Saccharomyces cerevisiae S288C: one gene and its partner. The protein of the gene in region 1 purifies or fractionates together with the protein of each later gene. This does not show direct contact. Each region holds a gene or a part of one and is shown in the gene's direction. Other genes may lie near its edges.

Region 1 (3,978 bases):
TGAGCTAGTTTGGTTAGCATGCCCAAATTGTTAGCGTAAACATTGTCTAATGTGCATATATCACGGCCCATATTTCGCACTACTCCCTTCAATTGTCTTTGCCAATTTGTTTGTTACGGATTAATTTGTGAAAAAGCTTCGCTAATAATATCAATTTTCTTTTTTTTCTTTGCTTTTTCTACTATAATATACATAAAATTATATAAAGAGCATATAAACCATAAAGATTCCTCTGCGACACTTCTTATTCATTTCCTCCAACGACTTGTTCACCTTTATCATTAATTCTGATCAATCTTAGAGTATTCAAAAGGCCAAAAGTGCCATTCCAGTTTCTTAGAAATTCCATATTCTTCGCATCACTCAAGTCTGGACAGAGAAACCCCGCCTTAAATTCTTTTAACTCTTGATCCCTCCTTTGTTGCAGTAGCACTTGTCTATTGCTTGGTGGCCTGTTTGACCTCCTCTTCTTCTTGAGTTCGTCTAATTCCGTATCATCTCTTTCAATAAAACTTTGAATAAACTCTCTTGTGTGGGCGTGATCAAATATTGGTTGCCCTTTGAATGTATCAGAGTTAACTACATCCTGCATAAATTTTACCCGAGCTAGTTCGTGGACTCTTTTGTCTTGATGAAGCTTCTTTTTGGCTGCGATTTTATCTTCACGCATAGTAGCCCTGACCAGCTTTTCATACTTTCTACCCTTCGGATGAACCGTGATATTTTTCCCTTTCTTGGATAAGTTCTTTTGCAACTTAGATAAAGATTTAGTAACCGGCATGATTAGTTTGTCGTGGTAAGTCCTGTTCCGATACTTTTCTTCTTAGAAAGTACCTTTAAAGAGCTCATCTCTCATCTCGTCTATTAAACCATTTTAAAATTTTCGCTCGGGATGTTCAGCTGTGTACAATAATACAGCGTAAGTGCATTCAAACAATGAGGACAAAAGCATAAAGTTGTGAAGAAAATTGCCCATACATTCAATGCCATTATTTGATCTTATTTCTCCAAAAGCGTTTGTTAAGTTAGTGGCCAGTGAGAAGGTTCATAGAATCGTTCCAGTTGATGCAACATGGTACCTACCCAGTTGGAAGCTTGATAATAAAGTGGATTTCTTGACCAAACCACGTATACCAAACTCCATTTTCTTTGATATTGATGCAATCAGTGACAAAAAATCGCCCTATCCACATATGTTCCCTACAAAGAAGGTTTTTGACGACGCTATGAGTAATTTAGGAGTTCAAAAAGATGATATATTAGTGGTTTACGATCGTGTTGGTAACTTTAGCTCCCCTAGATGTGCTTGGACATTAGGAGTGATGGGACATCCTAAGGTGTACTTACTAAATAATTTCAACCAGTACAGAGAGTTTAAGTACCCTCTAGATTCCTCTAAGGTGGCAGCGTTTTCACCCTATCCAAAGAGTCATTATGAGTCCTCAGAAAGTTTCCAAGACAAGGAGATTGTAGACTATGAGGAAATGTTCCAATTGGTAAAGAGTGGGGAACTGGCTAAGAAATTCAATGCTTTCGATGCAAGGTCGCTCGGTAGATTCGAAGGTACAGAACCAGAGCCTCGTTCCGACATTCCATCGGGGCATATTCCAGGTACCCAACCATTACCATATGGAAGTTTACTTGATCCGGAGACCAAAACGTACCCAGAAGCTGGGGAGGCGATACACGCTACTTTGGAAAAGGCATTGAAAGACTTTCATTGCACTTTGGACCCAAGTAAACCAACTATTTGCTCTTGTGGAACTGGCGTTTCAGGAGTCATTATCAAGACAGCATTGGAGCTAGCAGGAGTTCCCAATGTTAGATTATATGATGGATCCTGGACCGAGTGGGTCTTGAAATCCGGGCCCGAGTGGATTGCTGAAAACAGAGATTAATAAGAGAAATATATTCTTGACAAGTCGATTTATTTAGCTACATATATTAATTATCTATCTACTTACTTAAAGGGCGATCTCCCTTTCTTTGTCTTATTTGTGCTCTTCATTGTTATTGCCCGGTAAAATAGAAAATAACAGCAAAAAATAAGACTGCTGGCAAAAATGAGCAGAGACCTTTCTATCGAGGGAAAAGAACAAACTATTAATTCTTTTCGAAATTCCAACACGATTAAACCATCATGGCAAGTCTACCTGGTATTGATGAGCATACTACCTCTGAAGAATTGATAACTGGTGATAACGAATGGCACAAGTTGGTTATTCCCAAGGGCAGTGATTGGCAAATTGATCTTAAAGCAGAGGGAAAACTGATAGTCAAGGTAAACTCGGGCATAGTTGAGATATTTGGCACCGAGTTGGCAGTAGATGATGAGTACACTTTTCAGAACTGGAAGTTTCCCATATACGCTGTCGAAGAAACAGAATTATTATGGAAATGTCCTGATTTAACTACGAATACAATAACTGTCAAGCCTAACCATACTATGAAATATATTTATAATCTACACTTCATGTTGGAGAAGATACGAATGTCTAACTTTGAAGGCCCTCGAGTGGTGATTGTTGGTGGTTCGCAAACCGGGAAGACTTCCCTATCGAGGACACTATGTTCTTACGCTTTGAAATTCAACGCTTACCAACCACTATACATCAATCTTGACCCTCAACAGCCCATTTTTACTGTTCCTGGATGCATATCTGCCACCCCAATATCAGATATACTTGATGCACAACTACCCACTTGGGGTCAGAGTCTCACTAGTGGTGCCACACTACTACATAATAAGCAGCCAATGGTGAAAAATTTTGGCCTGGAAAGGATTAATGAGAACAAAGATCTATACCTTGAGTGTATAAGCCAGTTAGGTCAAGTAGTAGGTCAAAGGTTACATTTGGATCCTCAAGTCAGGAGATCAGGGTGCATTGTCGATACGCCATCAATATCACAACTGGATGAAAATTTGGCTGAACTGCACCATATCATTGAGAAACTCAATGTTAACATTATGCTAGTACTATGTTCTGAAACGGATCCTCTTTGGGAGAAAGTAAAAAAGACATTTGGTCCAGAATTGGGAAATAATAATATTTTTTTCATTCCTAAATTGGATGGTGTATCCGCAGTTGATGATGTATACAAAAGATCCTTGCAGAGGACATCCATAAGAGAGTACTTTTACGGCTCTCTTGATACAGCCTTGAGTCCTTATGCTATTGGTGTTGATTATGAGGATTTAACTATTTGGAAACCTAGCAATGTTTTCGATAACGAGGTCGGTAGGGTGGAACTGTTCCCCGTCACTATAACTCCAAGTAACCTACAGCACGCTATTATAGCCATAACGTTCGCAGAAAGAAGGGCAGATCAGGCAACAGTAATAAAATCGCCTATTTTAGGATTCGCTTTGATTACAGAAGTTAATGAAAAAAGGCGTAAATTAAGGGTTTTACTACCTGTCCCAGGCCGACTTCCCAGCAAGGCGATGATTCTAACTTCATATAGATATTTAGAGTAAGTAAAATTATCTGTTCAAGAGCCTTATATCAAATCCATACAAATATCGTACTGTACTGTCGAAGTATTGTTTGGGTGATTTTTATTTTTAATTTTTCCAACGCTTATATATTAACAATATTGCCAATTTGTGTCTTTGACATTATTTGCGCTAGCTAAAAAACTGCTGCAGTTTCATCGAGGAATATAAAAAACGACGAGAGTTAAAAGGAAAAGGCAAATCAAAACTGATCAGAAAAATGAGTAAGTATGGTCCATTGGGTATTACTAACTTTATTACTCCGTACGATCTATGCATATTAATCCTAATACATGCTCACTGCTCACAAGATAATGGCATATCAGTGCCAACAGCAGTATTTCTTCGGTTAATATCCCCTACTAGACCTTCACTAGAATGGAATCCTCTGCTCAAGGATAATAGTAATTTAAGATCTTCATCTATTGTTCCTCCTCCTGTACTTCCTATTCTAGATAATATAATAAGGATACTGTTAGATG
Region 2 (6,380 bases), on another chromosome or scaffold:
GCAAGTGGGTAGTTCGGCTCCTCTCATCGGCCATTTTCTTATGCAACCTTAGATCTTGCAATTCCTGTTCCTGGATAGCGAACAAATCCTCTGGATTGTTTTCCTCAAAGGGGTCCACCAAAGTCACATTGGTGGGGATTTGTACTTGATTTTGTGTTTCTGTTTCTATTTGCCCCTTTGTTTCTGATTGTTGCGATAGTTCTGCTTGTAATGCTTCGATAGTCTCCCTCTGGTTAGCGATGCTTTTCTTGTAGGATAACATCGTGAGATTGGCTTTGTCGACCAGCTCAGGAATACATTTAAGATAGTCATCCTTTGCTTTAGCCTGCTTCTTCAAGTGCTCCAGTGATTTGGTTGCTTGTAGCAGTTGCATTTTCAAGTTATTCACTTTGATTTCGGAATTTTTTCTCACGTTATTCAGTTCTCGCCTCACTTTGGCCAGCTCTTTTGAGCTTTCTGCATCAAACACCTTGCTGTCTAAACTTAGTTCTAGTCCTTCGTAGTATTTTTCATGGAACGTGTGAATCTCATCTAACTTGGTGTTCACCGTGTTCTGGACGTTTTTGTAGTCCTGTAACTTGGCGCAGATTTCCTTCTTGAGATTAACAAGCAAAGTGTATTCATCGTAGTTGCGTTCTTCTTTGCTAGAGGGAAGTCGAACAAGTTCGATTCTCTTTTCAGCAGAGCTCTTGTGCGTTTCCTTTAACGCGTTGTTCTCATCCAGGATACTTTTCATTTTTCCATGTAAACTAGCCATCTTAATTTCATAGCCTATGATCTCGCCGGACAATAACTTGGCGCTAGACACTAAAGCGGCTTCATTTTCTCGGTAATGATTCACTAAAGATTGAAGCTCCTTGACTTTGCTTTTCATCTGCCTTAAAGATGACTTCTTTTGTACTCTTGAGCTGCTGAGGCCCTTCGTCACAGCCGCATATTCCTTGTCCGAGTTGAAAGATGAGCTCGACTCCTGATCACTACCATCTATCACACTGCGAGTGATGGCATCCAAGACACCACGATTTTTTGGCATAAGCACTCAGTCTTGGCCTTTTTCCCTCCTTTCTCCACTGATCGAAGCTGTGTGCAAAAATCGTCCCCGGTGTTTATTTATTTGTCCTATGGATAGATATGTTACTCACGCGTCGCGTCGCTCCTAAAGACATGAAAAGCGCTTTTACATCTTTGCTAATACTAGCATCGCAGAAGATCTTCTCCATTGCTATGCAACATACCTGCCTTGGTAGTTGGTTTCATAATTTACAATATACAAAGTTATATGCCCTCCGAGTCAAGGAAAAGATTGTCTTCCAAAAAAGGTGCAACTGTGCGTTTAGAATTGGTGGAGAATTATGTGATATGCTTCTTCACCGTCCTCTGCTTCTGCCTAATACCACACTCATCAATTGACTGGAGATCTGGCCTATCTTGCTACTACTTCATAGATTTTTTTTTTTTTCATCTATCCCCTTCCATCCCCTTCTGGTTCTACCCCTTCAGCGTGAAAAATCACCATACACGATCAATCCGCCCGAGAACGAAAAGTGAAAAGAACAAACAAGTCGTGTCAGATCCATTCCTCTATTCCTGTAGTCGGGTTGCATTCTGAATTTACACGTCACGAACCAGCACTATTTCGCTACTGTAGGTGTAGAACATTAGGACAAGGCAAGCTTCTGCGATAGACACTTTACTCACACATATTTCCCTTTGTTCCCGTTTGCTCTCCCTAATTGAACAATAAAGATGGTCAAACTTGCTGAGTTTTCTCGAACAGCCACGTTTGCGTGGTCACATGATAAAATTCCATTATTGGTCTCTGGTACCGTATCTGGTACGGTGGATGCTAATTTCTCCACTGATTCATCTCTAGAATTGTGGTCATTGTTGGCTGCTGATTCGGAGAAGCCTATTGCTTCCTTGCAAGTGGATTCCAAATTCAATGATTTGGATTGGTCTCATAATAACAAGATTATTGCTGGTGCTCTGGATAACGGTAGTTTGGAATTGTACTCCACCAATGAAGCAAACAACGCTATCAACTCCATGGCCAGATTTAGCAACCATTCTTCCTCTGTGAAGACGGTAAAGTTTAACGCAAAGCAAGACAACGTTCTTGCTTCGGGTGGTAACAACGGTGAAATTTTTATTTGGGACATGAATAAATGCACTGAATCGCCCTCCAATTATACTCCATTGACACCGGGTCAATCGATGTCGTCCGTTGACGAGGTCATTTCCCTAGCATGGAACCAATCTTTGGCCCATGTTTTTGCATCTGCCGGGTCGTCTAATTTCGCATCTATTTGGGATTTGAAGGCTAAGAAGGAAGTCATTCATCTAAGTTACACTTCACCTAATTCAGGTATCAAGCAACAGCTGTCCGTTGTTGAATGGCACCCAAAAAACTCCACAAGAGTGGCAACGGCTACTGGTAGCGATAATGATCCATCTATCCTGATCTGGGATTTAAGAAACGCCAACACACCATTGCAGACTTTAAATCAAGGCCATCAAAAGGGTATTTTGTCATTAGATTGGTGTCATCAGGACGAACATCTATTATTGTCCAGTGGTAGAGATAATACCGTTCTTCTATGGAACCCTGAGTCAGCCGAACAACTGTCCCAATTCCCAGCTCGTGGAAACTGGTGTTTTAAGACCAAATTTGCACCAGAGGCTCCAGACCTATTTGCTTGTGCCTCCTTTGATAACAAAATTGAGGTACAGACTTTGCAAAATCTCACAAACACTTTGGATGAGCAAGAAACCGAAACTAAGCAGCAAGAATCTGAAACAGATTTTTGGAATAATGTTTCCCGAGAGGAATCAAAAGAGAAGCCAACTGTTTTCCATTTACAAGCCCCAACTTGGTATGGGGAACCATCTCCCGCAGCTCATTGGGCTTTCGGTGGTAAATTGGTTCAAATTACTCCAGATGGTAAAGGTGTATCTATAACAAACCCAAAAATTTCAGGCTTAGAATCAAACACTACTTTGAGTGAAGCGTTGAAAACTAAGGATTTCAAACCATTAATAAATCAAAGACTGGTCAAAGTTATTGATGACGTTAATGAAGAAGATTGGAATTTATTGGAAAAGTTATCAATGGACGGTACTGAGGAGTTCTTGAAAGAGGCTCTTGCATTCGACAACGATGAATCAGATGCACAAGACGATGCCAACAATGAGAAAGAAGACGATGGGGAAGAATTCTTTCAACAAATTGAAACCAATTTCCAACCCGAGGGCGATTTCTCCTTGTCTGGTAATATCGAACAAACTATTTCCAAGAACTTGGTTTCTGGCAACATTAAGAGCGCTGTGAAAAATTCTCTAGAGAATGACTTACTAATGGAGGCCATGGTGATCGCATTAGATTCAAATAACGAAAGATTAAAGGAAAGTGTCAAGAATGCCTATTTTGCGAAGTATGGATCTAAATCATCGCTCTCGAGGATACTATACTCCATTTCTAAGAGGGAAGTAGATGATTTGGTTGAAAATTTGGATGTCTCTCAGTGGAAGTTTATCTCTAAAGCAATTCAAAACTTATATCCAAATGATATCGCCCAGAGGAATGAAATGTTGATTAAATTGGGAGACAGGTTAAAGGAAAATGGTCATAGACAAGATTCTTTGACTTTGTACTTGGCTGCCGGATCATTAGATAAGGTGGCTTCAATTTGGTTATCAGAATTTCCAGATTTGGAGGATAAATTGAAGAAAGATAATAAGACAATTTATGAAGCTCATTCCGAATGTCTAACTGAGTTCATTGAAAGATTCACCGTATTTTCCAACTTCATTAATGGAAGCTCTACCATTAATAATGAGCAATTAATTGCCAAATTTTTGGAATTTATCAACTTAACTACTTCCACAGGAAATTTCGAACTAGCCACTGAATTCTTAAATAGTTTACCAAGTGACAATGAAGAGGTTAAAACAGAAAAGGCACGTGTCTTGATTGCTTCCGGCAAATCATTACCGGCACAAAATCCTGCGACAGCGACGACCAGCAAAGCCAAGTATACAAACGCCAAGACAAATAAGAACGTTCCTGTACTACCAACTCCTGGAATGCCTTCTACTACTTCTATTCCTAGTATGCAGGCACCATTTTATGGTATGACACCAGGCGCCTCTGCAAATGCTCTACCTCCAAAGCCGTACGTTCCAGCAACCACCACTAGTGCTCCTGTTCATACAGAAGGTAAATATGCGCCACCAAGCCAACCTTCGATGGCGTCACCTTTTGTTAACAAAACAAATAGCTCGACCAGATTGAATTCTTTTGCTCCTCCGCCTAACCCATATGCCACTGCAACAGTTCCTGCAACGAACGTATCTACAACGTCGATTCCGCAAAACACTTTTGCTCCTATACAACCTGGTATGCCTATTATGGGCGACTATAATGCTCAATCTAGCTCTATTCCTTCACAACCTCCAATTAATGCTGTATCGGGTCAAACGCCACATCTCAACCGTAAAGCCAATGATGGTTGGAATGATTTGCCTTTGAAGGTCAAAGAAAAACCATCTCGTGCCAAGGCTGTATCTGTTGCCCCTCCAAATATCCTATCGACACCAACTCCATTAAATGGTATCCCTGCAAATGCTGCTAGTACCATGCCTCCGCCACCTCTTTCCAGAGCTCCCTCTTCTGTGTCAATGGTATCACCACCTCCTCTACACAAAAATTCTAGAGTCCCATCCTTGGTTGCAACTTCTGAGTCACCAAGGGCATCCATATCAAATCCATACGCTCCTCCTCAATCATCACAACAATTCCCAATAGGTACTATTTCTACAGCAAACCAAACGTCAAACACCGCTCAGGTAGCTTCATCGAACCCCTATGCTCCACCACCACAACAAAGAGTAGCAACCCCATTATCTGGAGGCGTGCCTCCAGCTCCGTTGCCAAAGGCCTCTAATCCATATGCTCCAACTGCAACCACTCAACCCAACGGTTCCTCCTATCCTCCAACCGGTCCGTATACTAATAACCATACCATGACCTCTCCTCCTCCCGTTTTTAACAAACCTCCCACTGGCCCCCCTCCGATTAGCATGAAGAAGAGAAGCAACAAGTTAGCTAGTATAGAACAAAACCCATCTCAAGGTGCTACTTATCCTCCAACCCTTTCCAGCTCGGCCTCTCCATTGCAGCCTTCTCAACCGCCAACTTTGGCTTCTCAGGTTAATACCTCCGCTGAGAATGTCAGTCATGAAATTCCAGCTGATCAACAACCCATTGTCGACTTCTTGAAAGAAGAACTGGCTCGCGTAACACCATTGACCCCAAAGGAGTACTCCAAACAATTAAAGGATTGTGATAAACGATTAAAGATTCTTTTCTACCATTTGGAAAAGCAGGATTTATTAACCCAACCAACAATCGATTGTTTACATGACCTCGTCGCATTAATGAAGGAAAAGAAATACAAAGAAGCTATGGTCATCCATGCTAATATCGCTACAAACCATGCTCAAGAGGGTGGTAACTGGCTGACAGGAGTGAAGAGGTTGATTGGCATAGCTGAAGCGACTTTGAATTAATTCAGTCTCAAAACTTTCAGTACAAAAAGTGGCGTATTGGCCTTGTTTTTTTCTTATTATGTCTTATAGTATTATATTTATATATTTATGTACTTATCCTTTTATGTTTAAACCTAATCAAGATCACAATTAGAACTAGCTTAACATTACTTCTCAAAACCAACCAATACCTCTTATATCTTTTTTACAGCCTTTCCCTTATGTTTTTACCATGTACACCTCGAGCGGCAAATCTCCGGGGAAATTTTAAACTTGCCGCATCGCACATTCTAAAGAACAAAAGGAGGAGGAACTGTCAATTATTCTATAATCTGGGGAAATTCAGTCATACTGAGAAAAACTAGACAATAGTCCTATCCTCGGCAAATTGCATTGATAGTACTTACACATCGAGAGATCATAGGACAGATAAGAAGCATTTTATTGAAGAAAAACAGAGAGAGTCACTATAAGTTGACCTCACTATAGAAATTAAAACAGAAAAGTTTTACTGAGGACCTTTTTAAACAGAAGGATATGCCTTTGTTGGCATAGAAAGAAGAATTTATAAATGGATCCTAATAGTAACAGTTCTAGCGAAACATTACGCCAAGAGAAACAGGGTTTCCTAGACAAAGCTCTTCAGAGGGTGAAGGGCATAGCACTGCGACGAAACAATAGTAACAAAGATCATACAACAGATGATACGACAGGTAGCATACGAACCCCTACGAGCTTGCAGCGGCAAAATTCTGACAGGCAATCTAATATGACATCCGTGTTTACGGATGACATTTCTACCATAGACGACAACTCAATTTTATTTTCAGAGC

Evidence for each region.
Region 2: the proteins of CLP1 (region 1) and SEC31 purify together in Saccharomyces cerevisiae (affinity purification with mass spectrometry, with the first as the bait; 2 studies listed by BioGRID). This does not show direct contact.

What each region holds. Positions count from the first base shown.
Region 1 is NC_001147.6:800,470-804,447, reverse strand, and holds CLP1 (cleavage polyadenylation factor subunit CLP1), read left to right. Parts: upstream 1-2,140; coding exon 2,141-3,478; downstream 3,479-3,978. Other genes in the region: peptide alpha-N-acetyltransferase subunit NAT5, read right to left, coding at 1-71; TMA16 (Tma16p), read right to left, coding at 245-781; TUM1 (thiosulfate sulfurtransferase), read left to right, coding at 984-1,898; APC5 (anaphase promoting complex subunit 5), read left to right, coding at 3,717-3,978. UniProt on the Saccharomyces cerevisiae protein: Component of the cleavage factor IA (CF IA) complex, which is involved in the endonucleolytic cleavage during polyadenylation-dependent pre-mRNA 3'-end formation. Associates with HRB1/CF IB to form the cleavage factor I (CF I) complex.
Region 2 is NC_001136.10:105,462-111,841, forward strand, and holds SEC31 (Sec31p), read left to right. Parts: upstream 1-1,746; coding exon 1,747-5,568; downstream 5,569-6,380. Other genes in the region: ASF2 (Asf2p), read right to left, coding at 1-1,033; SNF3 (glucose sensor), read left to right, coding at 6,119-6,380. UniProt on the Saccharomyces cerevisiae protein: Component of the coat protein complex II (COPII) which promotes the formation of transport vesicles from the endoplasmic reticulum (ER).